Drosophila melanogaster: one gene and its partners. The protein of the gene in region 1 interacts with the protein of each later gene in a pairwise test. Each region holds a gene or a part of one and is shown on either strand. Other genes may lie near its edges.

What was found.
Region 2: the proteins of fau (region 1) and Wdr92 interact in a two-hybrid assay, tested with the Drosophila melanogaster proteins (one large-scale study listed by BioGRID).
Region 3: the proteins of fau (region 1) and CG8907 interact in a two-hybrid assay, tested with the Drosophila melanogaster proteins (one large-scale study listed by BioGRID).
Region 4: the proteins of fau (region 1) and Edem1 interact in a two-hybrid assay, tested with the Drosophila melanogaster proteins (one large-scale study listed by BioGRID).

What each region holds. Positions count from the first base shown.
Region 1 is NT_033777.3:10,772,659-10,779,147, reverse strand, and holds fau (fau), read left to right. Parts: upstream 1-1,773; 5' UTR 1,774-1,896; coding exon 1,897-1,971; intron 1,972-4,082; coding exon of another isoform or gene 4,083-4,499; exon of another isoform or gene 4,500-5,129; coding exon 5,130-5,450; 3' UTR 5,451-5,951; downstream 5,952-6,489. Other genes in the region: CG45078 (uncharacterized protein), read left to right, coding at 1,897-1,971, 4,083-4,499; CG45076 (uncharacterized protein), read left to right, coding at 1,897-1,971, 5,987-6,013. UniProt on the Drosophila melanogaster protein: Plays an important role in the regulation of tissue responsiveness to oxygen deprivation.
Region 2 is NT_037436.4:17,906,163-17,910,219, reverse strand, and holds Wdr92 (WD repeat domain 92), read right to left. Parts: upstream 2,078-4,057; 5' UTR 1,967-2,077; coding exon 1,692-1,966; intron 1,636-1,691; coding exon 783-1,635; 3' UTR 537-782; downstream 1-536. Other genes in the region: CG5290 (uncharacterized protein), read left to right, coding at 1-471.
Region 3 is NT_033777.3:17,007,118-17,013,051, forward strand, and holds CG8907 (uncharacterized protein), read left to right. Parts: upstream 1-1,712; 5' UTR 1,713-1,752; coding exon 1,753-1,811; intron 1,812-2,292; coding exon 2,293-2,686; intron 2,687-2,743; coding exon 2,744-2,788; intron 2,789-2,849; coding exon 2,850-3,740; intron 3,741-4,342; coding exon 4,343-4,715; intron 4,716-4,790; coding exon 4,791-5,131; intron 5,132-5,199; coding exon 5,200-5,295; 3' UTR 5,296-5,416; downstream 5,417-5,934.
Region 4 is NC_004354.4:1,903,170-1,909,609, forward strand, and holds Edem1 (ER degradation enhancer, mannosidase alpha-like 1), read right to left. Parts: upstream 4,811-6,440; 5' UTR 4,451-4,810; coding exon 4,326-4,450; intron 4,266-4,325; coding exon 3,137-4,265; intron 3,067-3,136; coding exon 1,376-3,066; coding exon of another isoform or gene 1,372-1,375; exon of another isoform or gene 1,153-1,371; intron 1,113-1,152; coding exon 1,043-1,112; 3' UTR 535-1,042; downstream 1-534. Other genes in the region: mip130 (Myb-interacting protein 130), read left to right, coding at 5,184-5,186.

The DNA of each region.
Region 1 (6,489 bases):
AATCGCGACTTGGGAACGGAGACACATGGAAGTGTTTGCACCTGCGCCACTTGCATCATTATGAGGGGCATCCGACCAAGAGATTTCTGGTATTAAGTCACTGACATCTTGCCGCTCGTTTTATATCGTATATATATTCAAACGGGCCTAAATATATGGGCTCTTACATTGATATTTATAAGCTAAACGTATATTGCTGAATAAATTTTTGTAAGTTATCGTAATATTAAACATTAAATAAGCATATCAAGAAATATTAATACTAAATTCGTTTGAATAAGGTCTTTTACATTCATATTTTTTAGATGCATAGTTTCAAAAATAATCTCTTAAAGATCTTACAGATCTAAAGATTCAACATCGTCAGGGTCGCCAGACAATGACCTCCATATATCACCTCATATTAAAATAATGAATGAATTATGTCAGACACGAATACTTTTATGGACAATTAGTAAACCTTTTCAAGTTGCAGACCTAAAGTAATACCTCTTTATAGATTTATGAAAATCAACATGTTGCAGAAATGTTGTGCCACCTTTTTCATTTAATCAAAGAAGATTTGTTCGCTATATTGAATCCTTTTCGCCAATTTATTTTCTGCTAATTTTTCAATGTCTATTAACACCTAATTAATACAAAGCAAACACTAAATTCCAAGTCAGTGCTCAATGACATTTTTGTTCGCCGATTAGGCTGACTTCGGCAGCCTTGAAATTACGAATCATTCATTGCCTCTCGTTAAGGTTAATGTCATAAAGAATTTGGTTTTTTTGAATTTCTGCCATGGTTTTGTTTATATACAAGCAAACACCTACACACCCGATTTAAAATGTGGGTATAGGATGATGTGCAGTTTATTTATATGTTCACGAATACATGTTTCCGATCTTATTGTAAGATGGTATGAGTAATCTGGCCTCAAACTGTTGGAAAACAACATTTATTTTTATCTTATTTTCATTTTTGTATTTTCTTAATAATTTATATCCAGCTATTTGTGTGGAAAGCTCTGTGTCCGGTCCACAGGTGATACCCACTGACCATAAATTGCTCTCAGGATTTTAATTTCACGCCTTATTTGTTTCAAAAAATGCCAAGCTCATTCATATCAGTTTTGGCTAATCAATCTTTAAACAACGGTGATGCTTTGAATGCTGATATTTTGAATGATGGGAATACGAATTAAGCTATAAACATTATTAATGTCTACATGTAATCATACTGCTAAATGCCAATTAAATGTAAAAATATTGAAATTACCATAATCAATAATTGCTCATTATATTGAGAAATTCTTGTGGCAGATTTATAAATAAATAATCCGCCGAATGTTTTGATGTTTATCGACCCATATTTAGCCTATGCCAAATATTAGCCTTTCCTCCATCTTCAGATGCCATCATCATCAATTCGAGTCATATCCCATGCTAAATACAGATTCTAATCTTATCTATAAAGTTCTGGAAGAAATCCGTGACGTCTGTTTTCGCAGATAAGGGCTCTATATCCTGGGAGCACTAGACTCGGTACATTTCATGTGTATATAGGCTTTTCCGAACGCAACTGTATGAAAAGTGCTGGCTTTATGTAAACAGAATTCGCTCGCTCTTTTGCGAGGAGAGATGTCAATGTTTCTTAATTCCAAAAATAAGTTCATTTGGGAGATGGATAGAGAAAGAGGTATGGACCGAACGTGCGAGAGAGAGCGGGATCGAAGGCTGTGAAAATTTTGAAAATCAAAAAATTATAAGCAAGTGCTCCGTGCGATTCTCAGGCAGATCAACTCGAACGGGCGTCAAGTGAACAACACGCAACGACGATATATCCGAACCAAAATCCAACGAACAATTCTATTTGAAAACTCTCAAAGCATCCAAATCTAAAAATCTCAACATGGTTTACGAAAGTGGATTTACGACCCGCAGAACCTACTCCTCGAGGCCGGTGACAACTTCCTACGCAGTTACGGTAAGCCCTTCGAAATAGAATCTGAACTTTACTTGACATACGGTAGTGTGGTTTTCCTCGATTTAAATCTGTGAAATATATCTGTGCGTACAGTTGCCAAACTCGAAACTTAAGCAGTTCAAGAATAAACTAACCTGTGATTGCAAAAAACGCTGAGGATAAATTTGACAAATTTGAAAGCAGTTAACTATTTGCTGTTAGCACTTAGCTAATGGCTAATCGAATCTGTAGTCACAAGAATTCAGTTTTAAGCGCTTGTGTCCCACTTGCTGTACTCAATGGTATCATTCTGAGAAGCGAGCAGATTACTTGAGAAATTGAAACACGTTTGAATGTAAAGTGTCTACCAATTATGAATATCGTATCGAACTTACAGTACCTAACTAGCTGGTCTTTCGCAACGGAATGTCCTTGTGCTCAGAGATATTATATTTAATGATCACCTAGACGTTCTGCCCATGTTGTACATATATAGCATTTTCAGGTTCAGTGTAAACATTTGTGTAGTAATTCATACATAAGCCTATTTCTAACAATTTAATAACTCTCACACAATGGTTGTGGTGTACTCGTACTACACTGAATACTACATATGTATATCTGAGTTATGTGCCTGCACAGTCGTCTAACCATAATTAAACCAGACCGAAATAATAAATATGTGACAAAATATTCTGACAAAACGATGCGAGTGTGAAAAGATTGCAATTTTCGCGCGATCGTGGGAATTGAATCTTCAGCAAATTTATTGCTGTGCAATGATCTTCATATCTCTTTCGGATATACGTGTTTACTCACCTCCCAAATATAACACGCTAAATACATTTTGGGAACTAAGAATTTAGCGGAGGCCGAACATTTTCTTCTCTATCTCTATATTTTATTATTATTTACAAAATGCTGAGGTCCGTCTGGTCTGGTGGTCTAATGGTCTGGTGCCCAAAAATGTTTAGAATATATACATATGTATGGGCGAGTGGAATTCCAAACACATGCGAATTCGCGATGAAACTCATACGGAGCCACAGCTCTCTCGATAATTTGTTTTTGTACGGGCCGTGGATTTGCTTTTTGTATGTGTAATACTATATGCGCGCGCATTTCGCTCTTTGCTGGTCCTAAAAATATCTTTCCGATTTCCATAATATATTCAAATAAACCGATGCCATGGCAAGCAACTACAACAAAATAACGCAAAATATTCGAAAATTAGAGGGAACAACATAAGAAAATGCCCATTTTTTCGACTGTCCAATGTGATGATAATCCAAAGCAAGGATATATATGTAGGTACATCGAATCCCCAAGAGATCCATCTTGTCTGGACACTTTCTGTGTGCCATGCATATACATTTTGAAAAGCACTCGCTGTTTATAATTTATAGTGATAACTTGATGATTCGATGAATGAAAACGGCAATCTACTTTGATGTGTATCTATGAAATACGTTTTATTGAGATTTAATTTTTGGTATTTAGGGTTAGAATGTAGGGTAACTGGCTTAATTGATAAATAAACTTGGCTAAATTGCTGTAAATATATATACGTTTGCTGTTTGTGTTCCATCTTAATGCTCCCATTGCACATTACTCACAACCACACTACGTCGTATCAATATGCATATATACATATGTGTATTTAGACTAGGGTGGACCGTTTGGAAAAACAAAATCTAAATTTTCATTACTGCACTTCAATAGAAACCTGTTAAGTAGGCTAGCTTTCTGCAGCCCAACTGTGCAAGCAACGTTGCGTATACGTAATATCTGTTTAAGGCTTGTGCAAACCAAAAGAGATGCAGGTCCACCCTAGGGTTCAGACACATGTGTAGCTATGCATCTTGTGTCATAATGTAAGGATGTTCGATGTTATTGGATACAGCTTGACCCACCCAGCACTGCGATCTGATACCAAACTCAACTACTGCCCCAACGAAGCTGTATATAAATGCCCCGCCCGCGTACTGTATATACTCGTACATATGACTTTGACCCACCGCACCGCCCAGTTGAGATCCCCGTTCGCTGCACCACCTAACCACTGAGCCACAGCTTAATCCCCGGCTGACCCAGAAATTAAAAACAAAATTGTGGACTTTTGGGCATTACAGAGAACGAAGAGAACACCAATTGACTGGGAGAAAGTTCCGTTCGTGCCGCGGCCGTCGCTCATCTCGGATCCGGTGACCGCCTTCGGAGTGCGGCGTCCCGATCTCGAGCGGCGCCAGCGGTCGATCCTCGATCCGATCAATCGGGCCTCCATCAAGCCCGACTACAAGCTGGCCTACGAGCCCATTGAGCCGTATGTCTCCACCCGGGACAAGAACCGGACGCGGATCCTGGGCATGGTGCGCCAGCACATCGACACCGTGGAGGCGGGTGGCAATACCGCCGGCCGCACCTTCCGCGACAGTCTGGACGCCCAGCTGCCGCGACTCCATCGCGCCGTCTCCGAGTCCTTGCCAGTTCGCCGGGAGACCTACCGCAACGAGAGGTCGGGCGCGATGGTCACCAAGTACTCCTACTAGGGGAGCATCATCCTATTCACCCAACCGATAACCCGAACCCAATCGAAGCCTAGTCGAACGAACCTAGTCGTATCTAAGGACACATAACCAACTAAAACAGACAAAAAAAAAACTGAAAATGCATTCAAAATAATGATAGGCCTACATATAGTCTAGCCATAGTCCATATAATCTTGTGTTAACCCACTAAACACTGAACAAGTTTTTACTCTACACAGAGAAAAAGTAGAACTTTTAGACATTCTATCCAGAATACGTTGTAATCGAAATATTTCCATTTTAGCAGTACGCTCTATAGAAATTGTTCAATGAGATTCCAACTACAAACGGTCAGTGCTTTTTTCTCTGTGTACCCATGTATCTAACGTTTCATTCATAGACTCATAGCATTTGTGTGCATAGATGGTTGCATTAAGCTCTTAACTCTAAAGTAAAACAGTTCGAACATGTTTCAATTTCCCCAATTGAGTCGCCTTGCGTTCTTTGGCCATTTGCATACAGCAGTTCGTGGAGCAGCAGGAGCAAGTTTAATCCTTTTATGATGCTTGTGCTGCCAATGCCGAAATAGAAACCAAAACCAAAACCAAACCAAACCTTATCTCTATATCACTATCAAATCGGAATTTATAGACTCCACGCTTAGACCTGTGCACGGACAGACCGGGCTCGCACCGCAGCCGGGCCTCCTCGGACTACTCGTACACCTCGAAGTCGTCCGTGGAGAAGAGCAGCTACGACTCGAGCAACCCGCACTCGTACCGCCCGGAGCGCTCCACGTACACGTCGACTGTGGAGAAGACGTCGCGCAGCGGTCCCGGCGGCTCGTACAACTACAGCACAGAGCGGACCAGCACCACTGGCGCCGGACCCGGTGGCTACAGCTATTCTTCGACCACCAGCGGCAACCTGCCCGGCGGCACCAAGTACCGCCACTTCTCCTACCACGTGTAGGAGACGCACAGCGTCAAAGGATCGGCGTTGGCTGTCCACGGCTTTGAATGTTATGGTGCCCACTAATACGTCATTGTTCTGAATTTATATATATATATAAATATATACATTTTGCAAATAATCCACTTAACCCGCTAACCTTGAGTGCCCATATATATATATATATATTTGTATACGAAGTTTTCAATGATGATGTATTTTCGTTTTGACTTGGACTAATCACCACTAATGCCCAAATAGTTTCGCATATAGACTAGATTAACCGAACAAGATCAACAATTTCTGTGTGTATTTGCAACCTTCAAGAAGTCATGTTAAAACATATTTGTGATACAATAAAATAAACACGGTCTTATCTCAAATGAACGTAGCATTATATTTTCTTGAAATGAACATATATAGAGGTCGATACGATATTCATACTGAAGACACAAATTAGGATAAGGAAATCTAAACCGTTTCTGTCAAGAAATATATGAGAGTTGTCAACTCTTTTGAACCAAAACATGACTTGCTCTATTTTGTATTACTTTCAGTACCCCTCGGTCGAGAAAGTAACTCGTGTAAGTATTTGGTTTTCATCCTTATCGCCTACATCGCTTGTCATCATCCATCTTTCTATGGATTATTACTATTCTTTTCTATTGACTTATATCACACACTGTTCAATCACATCCATCACATCATCGTCACTGGAAAAACAGATTCGGTTAGTAATAAGCCCTCACATCATAGTCTTATTTAGATTAAAGCACTAGAGAATCCATTTAATCAAAATAGAAATTATTCTGGGTAAATCCCACGATCCCACGTTAAATAATCTGAAAGTAGTAAGCATTTTCAAGATGCATTCTTTACTTATTATCATTTCATATATCATCATTTTTGTGATGTAAAATCGACTACTTCCATAATCATAAGGCAGACAAAACTGCCTAAATGGAGAGATCACGAACATATGGTTTACGTTTCTGTTTCTAGTTCTTATATGTTCTTTTTTATTTTCTCTGCTTTCTCATTCCGCTAATCAAATCATAAT
Region 2 (4,057 bases), on another chromosome or scaffold:
GAGGACCCCGCCGGCTCAAGTGCTCTGATCAAAAGACTCATAAAGCTTCTGGGACAGCAGAGCATTCAACATGGTAACGAGCCTCTTGTGTGGGAACTGGCCGCCTTGGTGGCCCAAACGCCACTGAAGAAGGCCGAGAAACTGGTAAAATCGTATCGTGCGTACACACCGAAGCATTTGGGCTGGGAAACCAAGTCGGAGCACGCTTTAAAAGCCCTAGATCTTTGTTTAGAGGTCTGCGATCTCTCAGTGGCGGCCATCACAGAGCACATTCAAGAGGAAAGTGAGGTAATGATTACCTCTCAACTAAATTCAGCCAGACTGGCGGGAACATCTTGTCTGAATGCTTTGAAGAGAGCCATAAATGTGGATGTATCGGCAGAACAGACTGCAAAAGTGGAGCAGCTGGAAAAACGCATCGAAGACCTGACAAAAATTGTCCAGGAACGAATGAATGCGTCTCGATCTTAGTTATACACTATATAAGGTTTTATACTATTTTGTAATTGCAAAACAAATAAAAAGAGTCATTTTTTATTGTACATGAAATAGTTTATTGCTGATATATATTTGTAAGCTAGTTTTGATTTGTAATATAATTCAGCTCAAGCAGATTATCCAGTTTTTCTGATTTTAAAAGCTATTGCGCATTAAGGATTTATTGTCTAGCAATAGGTGCAATGAAAGTGTATTCATAAAAATATAAACCTATGAATTAACCCATCATCCAATATCACAAGTATGAAGCATTTCTTTAATGGGTTTCTTTTGATGTCCACCATCTAAAAAGTGTTTAGTTTGGTGGTAATTAAAACGCGCACGCTTTGATCGAATGCTCCACAGACGGCTAGGCCCAGTTTGTCTGGATGCCAGTCAAAGCAGTGAACCGGCTGAGAGCTCAAAGTGGCTGCACTAAGCATATTAAGGGCTCCAGCAACTCCCAACTTGTTTCCATCAGAGTCATCAATGACCCTCCTGTCGGGATACTCGTACTGCCACAGGCGAATGGAACCAGTTCCGCCGCCCGTGAGAAAGAGATCCCGATTCTGGGGCAGATGACGAACTACCCAAACGGTGGCTTTGGGTCCGCTGATCACGCCATTTGTTCCCACGCTGCGTCCGGCGTTGCGTTCCTCCACGTAACTAAATCCCTTGGTCGGATGTTGGGTTCTCATATCGAAGACAAGGAGACCGCCCTCCAAAGTGGTGACCGCTAGCTTGTTCATGGGAATGTCCCGGCGATCGAACTCCAGTCCACAGATACCATTCTTCATGGTGGCCTCCCAGCGTACGGAAAGGGATCGCAAATCGAATATCTTTAGATCTCCATTATCATAGCCGGCGGCAACGATGCGCTCCTCAGCGTTGTAGGTATTTCCAAAGGCCACGGCCCAGCAGTCCCGGCGGCCACTGCTGTTGTTAACGCCATCGCCCATTTGCGGCGGCGGCGACATGTCCACCACAGGAGCCTGCCCCTGGCGGATATCCCAGACTTTAACGGCGCCGTCACGACTTCCAGTAACGATTTCCGGAGCACCGCAATCGATTTGTGTGCCGCCAATCGCGTCGATGGTGTTGATGATGCCGTTGTGGGCCTTTACATTGTAGACCGGAAGGTCCGGCTGCTCCATATCCCTGCAAAGAACACATGTCAGAGAAGCATCTAATGACTTAAGCGGGATTATGCTTACAGAACTTGCAGCCTGCCCTCGAAATCTCCGATGGCCATGTGGCGGTTCCTGAGCGAAGCTGCTCCGAAGGTGCCGCATTTGAAGGCAACCTTCTTCTCTACGGACTTCACTTTCACCAGCTTATCCTGGTTGAGTTCGTAGATGTCCATGATTCCGTGCCCGTTGGCCTTGGAGCCCAGAATCACAAACTTGGCCGAAAGGGGCACCCATTTCGTATCGTACACCGTGTAGTTGAGTGCCTCGTGGAGGTGCTCAATAAGCTGGGGCTTGTCCATTTCAACGATCTATATTTCCGTCTCAACTTTATGCTAATATTCCAAAAGCGGCCGGTGAAAACTTAAGGATTTATCAAAAACAAGTTGTTTTGTTGTCATGGCTATCTCTTCCTCTTTTTCAGTGTAGCCGTACATGCAGCGCCTGAAATATACCAATCAGCTGACGGAAATATACCAAATCTAATTTTTAAATAGATAAATTATAACATATCCACTAAAATGCAATATTTAAAAAAATAATAACGCTTAACGTTTGTAAAAAGTATATCCCATTACTATAGTTCACATTTTGTACTCATATAATCAAATAATTTAAAATTTACGAAATAATGTGTGTGTACGATAGTTATGCCGATACATTAGAAGGCATCGGGAACAGCTGTTAATGGTGGTAAGCTTAAAAAGCTTTCGCCACTCTGTGAGTTGAATACTTTTTTCTTCAGTTTTACTGGGTCAGTCGGACGCTGTTTTGCTTCTGTCGCGGATTTTCCACATATTTAGTTTTTGGCGCGAGCATCTTTTTTTGGCGTTCGACCCCCCAATAGCAACAACAACAGCAACAGCAGCAACAACTTCATATATAACGACAAAGAAACACTTTTACGTGTGTCGCAAGCGACGCTTTTCTGCATTAAAAAAAAAACGATGAGATATTAAACGTGCGGGGTTAAATAAGCGAAAATAAATATTATTGAAATAACAAAGCGCAGCTTATAGCGTTGGCTATTAATTTGCGGGCCTTTTAGCCGGTTTTATATAAGTGATAATCGTTTTGGCAGAACAAAAACTCGCTAAAGAGTGCTCAAAGTTTAGCATATTTGCGATGCATGCGCCAGAAAAGTGTTAATCAATTTTTTATTGGCAACAAGTGATACAACAATAACAAAGGCGCTATCAAAAGTTGAAGGTGCCAACAAATCGACGGCAGTATAGACGACTACAAGAACAACAACTACAGCAACAGCTGTACTCGTTGGCAACCGAATTGAGTGCCAACTAAAAATTAATGTAGTTTCTCAAAGGTAAAAGCCACAAAGATTCTTCCATTCTCGGCATGTTTTCACATTCATTTGTATTGCCCAACATTTCCTTACTTCCGCCGTTGCCTTTCGATTTATCGTCAATTTTGGGGACAATCACGTTAATTGTGTACTTTTCAGCTTTTTCATTGGCTTTATTGTTTCTGTGTGCCCTCTCTGTTGTTTTCGGTGCACTTGCACTTGACACACACTCATAGTGTATAATATTTAGTATATAAGCGTTATAGTACATCATGTATATAGTACATATGTTTATGTCATTCTTCCGTTTTGGCGACTTTTTGCCAACCTGTCGCATCGCCCGTTCGGAATACCCTATACTTATTGGGATTTGTTGATAAGCCCACCACGCTGGGGAGAACAAATAGTGAATGGAAACTAATTGGTTTTTTGGTCTGAAAAAAAAAAAAAAGTAAATATTATGCAACACGTAAAGTGCACAATTATAAAGGCAATTATTTCTACAAAAATTCCCCTTAACAGTCGACTTGGTCTTTTTGTAAAAATTATTGGTTATGAATACAGAACCAGATTTAAATAAATCTATAATTATATTTTCTTTCTGACAAATATAAAATTCTAGCTTTATACTTTCCCACAACGAAGCGAATAAAACTTGTGAATTACTTATCAATCAATCGGTAATTTACACAGATTATTTTTATACATTATCACTTATACGTGAACTGTAAAGATTGCCAATAGTCGTTGCCTTGGGCTCAAGATTAAAACCCTCCACTTTCACACCTGTTTCTAATTTGGGATTAAAGTTTTCGCAGCTAATAGCACGCAATAGCTGCAATAATAATCTATAGTAATAAATAGGGAAACTGAGGGATTAATGATAGCACTCATATTGTGCCGGGAAATATTTCATATCACGCGCCTATATTTAACTTGCATATGAGGAAGTATACGCGCACATACAGAAACTTATATGTATGTGATTGAAATGTAGAATATTTAATATTTATTTTCACAACTAATGTGTTTTAAAAATCTCTATATTTTAAATAAAACCTTTCTCGAAATAAGCATTACAGCATCGAGT
Region 3 (5,934 bases), 6.2 Mb from region 1:
TGACAAAACAACGCTGCTCACATTTAAGATTGTTTCCAAACCAAAAAAAAATATATATAAGAGTCAAAACTCATTAAATACCTCAATCTTGATTCTTATTATCTTATTGCTATATTGGTTGTTAACTATACGTTTTGTCTAAGGGAACATCGAATTACAGGTAGAATTACATGACATAGACATGAATTTACAGATCAATTGTGTCTGGTTGACACTTTTGATAACTCTCAATTCAGAAGCGGATCGTTAAAGTCACGCAATATTACTATACTCAAAGTTGTTGCAGAAAGTGTTGCGGACAGTGCGGTACGTGTATTTCCATTTTCAACAATTCCCATTTTCAACTGTAATGAGGGTCGCTTTTTTCTGTTATTACGTGAAGTAGTAGTCATTAAAAGGCAAGAATGTCACAATTTGCTCCAATAAAAGTTATTGGCCAATAAACGAATAAAATAGTTACCCCAGACCCTAAGCATGATTGTTTTAAAGCTCTTTATTTATGATGAAGGACTTTCTTAAGTTAGGAATGATTCATAGGCAACATACAAAATACATGATATGATAATACGAGTAGAATAAGATATAAAGTAAGTTGTATGTAGATTTAATTGATCGAAATTATGCGCGCACGTCATGACATAAGTAATTTTCATTTCCGTTTTTTGAAAAATAGTCATCAAGACGTTTTTAATGATTTCTGTAAAGATTAAAACAACCATAGAGATGCATTTTTGCGATATAAAACTTATACTTAAGTTTTATTCAAGAACACTTTCACTTTTTCGCCAATCAATAATAAGCTATTTAAGTAATGTGTTAATGGAACTTAAAGAAATTCCTAGTAATTACTATCTTTAATTGAAAGTAAGATTTGTTGTTGGTAACAGGGTCAACTGCTGACCATTTCATACGATCCCACAGTGGGCCGATATCAAAATCAAGGCCCAAGGGTAGCAGACTCTCTCATAAGGAATGGTATTCGTATTTGTATTTGTTGCTCTGCTTCCAGATAAGATTGAAAAAGTGCCTATGAGCACCAAGAGATAAGGCACACTTTTGCTTTTGCGATAACGCACCATCGCAATTTCAGGCAATCAATTAATGAGCCAGCTGATATCGCCGATTCCCATTCCCTTTGGGCCAGCCAACGTCAGTTAGTTGGAGTTGGAATTCGATTCACAGCGGGTCGAGAGTTGTAGATCGGGTCGAGAAAAAAGAGCAAATAAATAAATAAAGAGCACAGTGGGCAGCACACAAGGTAACCAATCCATCGGTTCTTCTAAGCCCGTAAATCAACATACCAACGATATGTCTCAGACATCTGTATCTTAGGATCTGATGTCATGCCAGTGAAAGCAATAAATAAATCTCGAAACACGGCGGTAAATAATTGACCCACAATCACGGCCTAAAAATACGCGATTAACTCTTATATTCGAGTCCTTATGTAATAAGCTGCCATTAACGATTGCTTCATGAGCGAAGAATTTCCTGGCTTGTGATAACTGCAAAACAGAAATAAAGTAACGCCAGCAAACTGAAAAAGCAAAGCAATCGCAAACACAGTGCCAATTGCGTTTATCTAATCGGACAGGTAGCTACCACACAGGTGAAATAGGTACTCTCCTATGTACATATGTACACCTATGTACTTCTAAATGCAAAGGTATCTAATGGTAGCCATCTATCTGATTCGCATTGCCCATTGGGAATCAATAGTTTACCAGAACGCTTTGATTACACACCGCCGCAATGGTCAAAGCAGGCAATAGGACCCTGAAATACTTCCGACCCATTTCGGTCAAGTATGGGTAAATATCAAATATCAAGCGTGATAGACAGGAGGCTATCTCATAGATTGAAGCATTGCCAACACCTGTCTATCATATACCCGTATACTTAAAGTGCCACTTTGGAAATTTTCGGTGTTTTACTGTTTATGTTAGCATAACATTCAAACAAAGAGATCTTTTCGTCCTTGATCTGCATTTATAGTGTAAAAGATGCAGAACAAGATAGAAAATTCTTTACTATTGAACTATTAAAGTTTAACCTATTTTCCTTGTATTAAAAAGTGTAAGAGCAACTATTACTCATCGTCAATTACCTCTATGTCATGCATTAGTTGCAATGTAGTGTTATCAACAAAACAAAAAGAAGGGCAAAGAATTGCGCAGTTCATATTCTACAATATGTGCGCCTGAATGCCAAACTTTACATGGAAACAACCAATAAGTGATAAAAAAAAAAAAAACTATAGTTATTTGGAATGCCCATTTCCCTATTTCTCAGGATGCCACAAAACGGCTACGAAAATGGAGTCCCTGGCGGGAATCAGGCAAATGGGCACTACGACGAGGTCAAGCCCACCTATGCCCTGGAGCACTTGGCCACCTTTAAGCTGAAGAACGAGGCTGAGGTCAAGCAGCCGAAGGAGAAGATGAAGCTTCTGGTCGAATTGGAAAAGACCGGGGGCATTTGGCCGCACAAGATGTTCATGAGCTTCAATGGGCAGTGGCTGGTGATGCTGGACAGTGATATGAAGGAGATTGAGAACTTTCCGGGGAGCCTGATCACGGAGCCCACGGCTTTTATAAGCGATCATCCGCAGGAGTCATTCAACAATATCCTCATTTTCTCAGTGCCCGGAATCTCACTGGGCAATACCGAAATGCACATCTTCCAGGTGAGCAGCCACGATTTTTCAGCACTTTGAGATCTGTAATAATTAGATCATTAATAGGTGGCCGATGTCAGTTCCGTGCTCTTGGTTGAGGATCTAAAGACGGTGAGTTGAGTTGAATAAATAGATCCCCGATCTATATAATCCCAATACCACGATTTCTCAGCTAAGCAAGGGAACCCCTGTGACAGTGGATCGCAACAAGACGCCCATCCTGCTGCCCAAGCCGGAGAGGCCGCAGAACCAGCAGGCCAAGGATCAGTATGGAATAGCAGCTGCTGTGGCCGGAATAGCAGCCGAGAAGAATGCCATAGACAAGGAGCAGACCGAGAGGGATGTCCAGGTGATAAACCACTGCTTCGAGGACATCGAGCGGTTCATGGCCCGTCTTCATTATGCCGCCGAGGCGCTTAACGAGCTAAAGTTGCGCAAGGAACAGCATAATCCCCACGGTGAGGGACTTTTGGTCCTGAGATCGCGACCACCAATCGAGAGCGAGTTCCATGACATTTTGGCCAAGGCGAAACTGGCCCTTATATACTCCGTTCGGCTGCAGAACCAATTCACCAAGCCCGCCGATCCGGTGCACAATGTCTTCATATCGCTTAAATCCATCGTCACGGTTTGCAACGATATCTACGTGGATGCGGGTCTGCCGCAGGCGGTACTTAATCCCCTCCTGCGCCGTGAGACCATTGCCTTCCTCAATGGCACCCTCGACTCCAACGAGATGCAGCTGTGGCAGAGCCTCGGTCCCAACTGGACGGTTCCCAAGGATCAGTTCAAGGATCACAAGAGCTCTTATCATCCGATCTTCTACGACGATTGGTCTCCCGATTGGGTGGTCGATGAGGAGGTGCCGTACCTGGCTCCTGCTCTAAAAAAGAGCACAACGCCTTCGCCAGTGCCGGTTCCCATGCCCCCGAGTCCAGGTCTAGGAAATCGCACCTGGCTGAGTAGATTGGAGAGCCGAAATGTCAAGATCGCCGAGGTTACCTTCAATAAGTCGGCCACCAACGATAAGGAACTAAAGGTTACAAAGGGAGAGTATTTGGAGGTAAGTACCTAATAATAATCGAAAGGGGTTTTAATGTCAGTTCTTATCATTCAGATCTTTTAGCCAAATTTATCCCAATTTCAAGTTCCTTTAATTAAGATTTGCACAACATTTAAAACGACTTGCTTTTTTAATCGTTCGCTGACGTATGAATGTATGTAAGAGGCAATTATTTTGGGTTACAATACAGTTTTGTAAATATATAGGAATGTCCACGTGTGAGAACTGAATGATTTGAAATCTTATAAGGCACAGGTCTTTTACTTTTATATTAATCTTTTGTTTTGGAATGTTACTGATATAAAAAAGCTTTAGATAAGTATTGGTTGTGAAGATATGAAAATTCATTGCCGGTAATATATATGATTCAATAATTTTAAATTCAGGCATTTGAGATGTCTTACCAATGAGAGGTCAGTAACACTATATCAATACAAAAACTTTGAATGCAATTACTAAACATTGATTATATTTTTAACTTTATACCATGTTTACTATACATGGTACCAATCTTATCGATTCCCCAATTACGCGATCTTACCTTCATATCACCATGATAACAGACCTTATAATAACTATCATATAAATCGTCTGATTCCAAGATTATCGATGACTCCCGCAACTGGTGGAAGGCCCGTAACTCGTACGGAAACATTGGCTACGTGCCGCACACAGTGCTCACGCCGTACAACTTTGAGCCCGGAGTAAATGGCCGGGACACGGAGTCGCTGGCCTCAATGGCTTTGACGGAGAACGGCGGCGAGGAGGCCATTCCTCCTCCGCTGTACCGCAACACAATGGCCATGTATACCGCTCCCGTGGAGCAGCCGGCGGCCAATGGCAAGGCCATGCAGCGCACCTTCTCGATGCCCAACGTGCCCGTTCCACCACCGATGCCTCCACCGAGCGATAGCCAAACGCCCACGCCCAGTGGCACACTCAAACGCAACATGGCGGCGGCAGGAGCACTAGCAGGTGGGTACACTAGTAAATTAAAAAAAATAATACAATATAATAATGATATTTGTATTTATCTCATTCGCTTACCAGCCATGCGGGCCCGCAATGATTGCGAGGCAGATGATCAGCTCTACTACATGCAGGGCGACGTGCATGATGAACTGCGTCTACTGCAGCAGCAGCGAGAGAGGCGCAAGGACCTCGAGATCCTTAAGACGCCGGAAATCTTCATCACCCAGAATTCAAAGCCAAGCGAGGTGGAGGAGTGGCTGCGGGGCAAGGGATTCTCGGACATCATTATCAAACGATTGCACACGCTATCCGGCGAGGAGATCTTCGCCCTATCACCGCACACCATCGAAAGTTACTTTGGCCGGCGGGAGAGTCGCCGCCTCATTTCCCAGATCGTGCTGCAAAAGAATTTCTGCGAGGTGAGTTCTTGGACATATCCTCACCTTATCTAATCTAATCGAATCCATTCCAATATCCAATTTTGCAGTACAAAACCATTCGATCATCGGAGCTTTCTGCCAAACTGGCACGTGCTCGCCAAAAGGCCGATCAGTCCAATGGCAATCCCAACGAGGTCTTCTAAGACTCCCAGTATCCCGAGTTTTTTAGCCGGAGACCAGAGAGACAAAAATGCTTCAGATGCCATTAATTTATTTATGTGTAATAATCCTTCATTTATGTTAAACAGTGTTCATACGTATATTAAAAAAAAAAAAAGACAAAAATGGGTTTGATTTATATGCATTTAGTGTTAACATCTCGAATTGATTATAAATGTAATATAGATACTTTATTTAAACACAAATATTTATGAAGTGAAGAAATCATATGATTTCCTGTTTAGAAACTTAACTTCCCTAAACTCAAAAGTGGTATGGCATGATTAATTAGGCAAGAATATGTTTATCATTACAGGAAACTTTGAGAACTGGTTATGGAACAGTCCTAATGAAACGCTTATTGGTTAACCCAGATACCTTATATGTCGAACTCCAGTTCGAATTGCAGACTTCAATCAAAAGACTTACGAAATAGCCGAAATGAATTGGTTTTTTCAATAAACACGATGTTCAATGTTATGAAGAAGTAATAGACGTCGATTAAGAGTAATAAGTGATAATCTTCATAAATTCTGCTTCGTGAGTGCATCCTAAAAGTCAAGTAAGTGGGCGTTTCAAACCGGTAGGGGCGTGGCGTGTTATTTACCTTTTTTGTGAACACA
Region 4 (6,440 bases), on another chromosome or scaffold:
AATTTCCCCAGCAGGTGCTGTGGGCTGTCCGCGATGTATGCGATTGGCTCAAGAGAAAGTAAAAGGACGTCAGCCAGTGATGAGACGGATCACTGGTTATATTCAAGATTGGAATTGGTTGAAGTATAACCAAGTGTACCGAAGGCGAAAGTCATCGATTGGTTGGAACTGGAACTTATCTCGCCTATTTTAAGGCTAACTACTACATTGTAAACAATAGGAGCTTACTATACCTTCGCATCACTGCTTCCAGCACCCAAGGGCTGGCTCCATTCATGTCGTTGGCGTAATTTAGTACAAGCCCAAAACCCAAATCCCTGAAGTAAACAGCAATATCCGAAAATAAACCCATTCGAGCGATTGCCTTTGCGTGTCCAAACAATCGCAGCCACAAAATTATCTAGAGGCAGAGGAGCAGGTGGCCACCACATCCGGCACTTGGCCGCCGCGATTCTCAACATTTGCTTCGGGTTGTGCAACTCTCTCGATTCGTCGTAAATTTTAGCCTAATCGAATCTAATTGAATACATAAATACGGAAATAAATCAATTTAATTACAATACAGCCAACAACAGTCATCGCAAATAGTTTACACGCACACAAGCACTCGAACCATTATTATTACAGATATAAATTTGTTTAAGCCTTGGTAAGGTATTGAGAAAACCTCAAGAGTTGCGGGTTCATATGCTAATTAAATTAATTGTCGGCACAAGTAGGACCACTTAAGGTTCTTTAGCTATACATATTTTTGGAAGTTCTATTATCATATCTTAACTGAGCTTTAAAAAATCGCTGGTAAACATGATTGTACAAGAAGTTGAAATTCCTGGAAATGGTTTGGTAATTGCATACATATGTACGTACATATATGTACATAGCTTACAATTTAAACGATAGAAAAGTACAAAGTACAGCACTGCAAATATCATGATCGGCAACATATCAGAAAACCGTTAGAGGTGATGGTTCTCTTTCGTTATCTAAGTTCCCCTCCTCTCGCGCTGTCTTCATCTTGTACTTTCGCGCTTGCCGCTTTGGCTTAGCGCTCTGTCCTTTTCGCTCTGCAATTGAGTCGCTCATTGTCATGCGCGCATCGACGCCGAACTTTGCTAAAAAAAAAAAAATATACCATGATCGTTCGAAATCGTTACCAGAAAAAACGTCTTTTAATTTTGCAAAAATAAGTTAATAAAAGGGCCCAACAGCCCACTTTTCAATCGCCATCGGAAATAGAGCAGTTGGGAATAAAATCTGCGTGAGACTTATCTATGTGGTTGCCCAGTCACCAGAGCGAATACCCCTAAGTAACTAAATACATACATATCTATCTACAGATCAGTCGTGTTGGTCGGTGAGGTGATTGCGAGCTTACAGCGCTTCCGGATAAAAGTCCCGATAGGCGAATCCCTCAATGTACTCCGGCCGGTGGCAGGCGAACAGATGGTGGGGTAACTCCTTGCGGGCGTACTTCTCCAGTGCCTTGCGCGTATTTTCCTGGAGCACGGCCTCGTCAAATTTGACCCGCTGCACCGTGGTCTTCCGAAGGATGGTCTGCACCAACTGCGACCACACGCAGCCGGACTCCTCTTCACCCAATCCGGAGCCGTTTTCGGCAAGCTTTCCTTTTTGAATTTGTGTCGACTGCTTCTCTTCCTGGCTCGGCTCCGGCTGCTGTGCAGGCGCCGCCATCTGGGCTTTGGTTTGAGTGTAGACTGTGGACGCATCTGCGGCCTGAGAGTCGGTAGTGGCCTCTTTCCTTTTGGGTGGCGGAATGTCCTGCATGAGCGTCTGCAATCGATCAACTGTCTCCGCCATTCGTTTCCGAAAGTCCACTATTCGACGGGCGTAGCTGAAGAGGGCTCGCTCCTCCGCCAACTTTAATGGCCTTTTACGTGCTTCCTCACTTAGTTCTCCGTCTTCCAAAAGTGGGTGAATGCGAACACCGGCCTCCGAAGTGCCACTGAGGTAGATTCGGATAGCAAATTCCTGCATGGCCGAAGTATTGACCATGGCTATGGCATAGGCATTACGTGCTTTTAGAATAACTTCTCTTATATGAGCCAACTGGGGCGAGGAGGTATTGGACACTCTTGTTTCGAGATCTTGTAGATCCATATGCTCCAAGTGAGCCGACTTATCCAGGCTGTCCAACACCTCTGTCAAATGGCTAGGTATCCGGTCACCGTCCGCCGGAAAGGTTAGCAAACCTAATCCTTGAATCACTCGGATGTTGGCCACATATTGCTGCTGCAGTTCGTACAGCTGCCAAAGGGTCCTCATTCGAGACTCATACTCTTTCTGGGCGCCTGTGCCCAATACACTACTCATATTAGTATCGTACAGTTGCAAGCCCCGTATAAAGGCTACATCCATGGTATAGTTGCCCATGAAGGTCTTTACATAGTTAAGAGCCTCGGAGGCGCTTGCGAAACTCTCCCGTCGCTGAGCAAAGAATTCATCCAAATCGCTGACTGTCAACTGGTTTCGTGCCACCACGTTTCTGTGCAGGCTCTCGTTTAGCTCCCGCTCCTCGCGTATCTGCTCGAAGTTGCTTACTAACAGATCGCCGGCGGGCTGTTGAAATTCGTCGAACACCTCAATATCTACGGCCATGGTAGTGCTTGTGCCGGATTGCTCGCGTTCCTGCTCTTTTTCAGAGTCCTGCGCCTGCACACTCTCATCCTCTTTATTAAAGAACTCGTTGTTCTCTGGGTGACACTGCGGCACCCACTGTTCCTGAACAGCTACCTGCCGCTTTTTGCTCCTCTCTAATATCGCCCGTGGACTAAACCGCTGTAGATCCAGAGAGGTGTAGATGTCCTCGTTGTGGGCGTGGCAACAGTGGAGGGCTGACATGTCCATGGGATGAGCCTCTGTGTTGAAGATGTACGCACCGGCCTGTACCACGCATACATCATCCTCGGTTGACAGCAGCTCGCCTCCGGACCCATCGTTGTGCAGGAAGTTTTCCTCGTCAAACAGCAGATAAAGGTACTTGCTTGTTTCCGCCAGGAAGAATGACTCCATGCGATTCTCCTTTTCGTGGGTGACAACATTGCGAATCTGGAAAATAATGCAAGTATATATTAATTAATTTTAAGTTCTTAAAAAGCTTGTTCACAGAACTTCTCACCGTTGCATATCCGCATTTGGTTTTGGCACTGAACTCCAAGGTCTCCAGCATGTGCTCACCAAACTCCAGAAGATACTCGTTTCCTGTGGCTCGATAGAGATACATAGCTGACTCGATTAGCTCCGGTCGCAGGGGGTACACCTCCCGATTCGGCGATGCCTCTCCAGCAGCAATGTTATAAAACTCTGGCAGAAAGCCGTACTTCTTCCAGACCCCAATGTACCGTGATATGGTGCGCAAGGCCGGCTCCGTGTCGCCAATAATGCTCAGGATGCCGGGCCAAAACGCCTCCAGGGACTGAAAGACGGGAAGGGTGACGCGGCCTTTGTTCATGCCTACCCACACGTACCAGTCCTCCTTCCGCATGTACTTATCAATGGCCGCGCGAGCCTCATGGAATAACTCCAAGAGTTCTGGGCGATTGAGCAGGACAGATGCCTTAACTAGGTATTCAAAAAGGGAATCCACTCCTGCTCCGATACCAGAGTCGAGGGCGGTCCAACGACCGCTCTGCACGTCGATGTGATTGCCAAAAAGTCCAATGGGCGAGCGATATGCCCATAGAGCATGTACCGCCTTCATAGCAACATCCTCGTAGATGGTTTTCCCGGTCAACCGGCTAAGGGTACCAAATTCGATGAGGAATGTCCCCACGCCCGCCGTACAGGTTATAGAGGTCTCGCCCTTGGGCACGCCATAGCGCAGGTTCACCGTGCCATAAGGCATACCCGTGTTCGTGACGAAGGCTGGCAATAATCGTCGGGCCACATCCTCCGCCAGTCGCAGCAGAGGTCCCTTGCAGGGCCATCCTGGCTCTAGCTCTACGCCAGCACGCTTGGAGAGCAGATGCGCGGACAGCAGCCCGCCCACGATGCGGATGTTTGTCTCGAACACGGACACGTTGATGTCCCTGTCAAAATCCATCTTCTCCTCGAGCAGTCTTGCCGCGCGGCGGAATTCCGTGAAGTTGCCCATGGTGGCCAGCGTGTCCAGAGCGTCGATCAGTGTCAAGGAGTAGCTGCCCCAGGTGTCGTGGCCATCGCAGGTCAGCGGACGCAGTTCATCGTAGTTGGAGGCGTGGCGCAGGTAACCATCGTAGGCGTGCTGGAACATGCGCCGCACATCCTCCCTGCAGATTCATTGCCGGTTAGGATTAGTATGTCCGAGTTTAGCCCTAGCAATGACCCACCTCAGTTCCAACTTTCTTGCCTTGGAATACTGCTTCTGGCCGCTGACACCGGTGGACAGCAGGACGAGGAGGACCGCGCAGATGAGGGTGCCCGGATAGCCGTTGTTTCGGGGTTTTTGCTGCATCGTGGGACAGTCAATCAATCAGGGCCGCTAATTCAATTATGGGCATGGTCAGTGTTCCATAGCCAGCGTGGATGTGGGATGTGTGGAAGTCAAATGCGGCTACGTTGACGCAAAATCACAACAAGGGCTGATTCGGCGGTGGCATCGACCGCCGAATGCCCTACTAATTCCGTTCGGTGAGTGTTTTTTTATAGAGCGCTTAGAGTAGCAAACGGGGGAAAGAACACAAGCCAAAGAGCTTTTTTAAGGTAACAACCAAACACTATAGGCTAGCAAACACTGTATTCTCCGCCAATTCTGAAGTACGTTAATTTTACCCAACAAAATCCCTAGCAATAGGATATGTCATTCCGTAGGGTGCAATCAGCTGTTGCTGATCGAATAACTATCGAAAGGGTGGTCAGATCGAATTTGCATGGTGGTCATTGCTTGTTAAAGGAATACAACAGCTCAGAATAGCCGTAAAATCAGCGCGGCAATATTAAAGTCGGGTTGGAAAAATTAAATGGCAATTTCTTTAAGAATTCAAAAAGTTTGTGATGACAAATATACCGATTGTTTGTCACTGCTTTGCGCGGCACACGTTCCTTTATACTTTTATTCGCGTCGAGTTGGCAGCACATACCAGTTTTTTTTGTGGCCATTCAAAAGTGTGTGTTCGTACGGGTAAAAAGTGATTTAAATTCAAAATATTCAGCGAAACGACCGCCTCCAATAGAAGCAACTGTACCCTATGGTAAGTAACTGCCCTCTGCACCCGTTTCACACCCGGACATCCTCCGGATGAGCTGACCAAGAAATCCGCAGCCTTTGTTACGCTTCCGACTGCGAATTGCAGTTCTGGCGATGGGCAGCGATGTGTTTCGGTTTTGAATCATTCTCCGCGTAAAAAAAACTCAGAAAGAGGGTCGACTATAACCTCGCGGAGTAACTGCATCACGGCCCGTGTGCCTTTTGTACTCCGCGTAAGGCGATCGTTTAAATGCAATCGCGTATGCTTAATTGTCCGTTGGGCGAAAAGTAACAACATTGTGGGTCTATACATGCGGGATTGCCTCTGGCTGACCAGAAACCACATTGAAACCATCCCGTTGACCGTAGATATAAGCGTGTGCCATTTGGGATCTGGAAATCGTGTTTCCACCCAGTTGTTTGCATATTTATAAACAATTAAAGAAAAATATTAAATTTTTTGGTCAGGGCTGTCGCCCCTCGCATGGCATCGATAGAAGAGCGTCCGGAGCTGCGGTTGCAACCCTATCCGCTCACGCAAATCTATCGAAAAATTTTACTCCACGGTCGATTTTCGTTGCTTTTTTTTCACACTCGTGTAAAAAAAAAGGAAATAGCTAAGTAAATCGAAAGTACAGTGCAGTGTTTTGATCCCGTGGAGTGCATGTTCCAGCGGAAAGTGTGTGCAACAAATATGAGCAGTTCGCAAAAGTGGCGAGCAAAAGCAATAACAAAGTAGCAACAGCAACGCAACGTGTGTGTGTTGTAAGCAATCTGTACAGCGGAAAGGTGTTGGTGTGTTGGTGTGCTCGGGGGGTGGTGTGCGTTTCGCCCGTCCCGTGTCCATAAATTAGAATCAAATCGAATCGAAATCGACATTGAAGTCCGCTGCTCCGCCACCGCGATGTCCGTCGACCAGGATCAATAAGCAGCGTCACCACCAGTAGCGGACCATCATTAAGTTCTCCATATCGAGAGCAGGCTGACTCGGAATCGAACTCGGATTCGGAATTGGAATTGGAATTGGCATCGGAATCGGAATCCATAGCGGAGGAATCACGCGCGGCAGCCAGCCCAATACGGAAAACTGCTGAAAAATGTTAGATAAATGCCCAGTTATCTACAATTATTATGGCTTGTCCCTGTGTGCGTGTCCAGGTGTGAGGGTGTGTGTGTTTGTGTGCGATAGCAGAAGCAAAATCCGCTCAAATTGCGATGCCAAATAGTCGGCCAATTAATTGATCTTTCAATTGGCGAC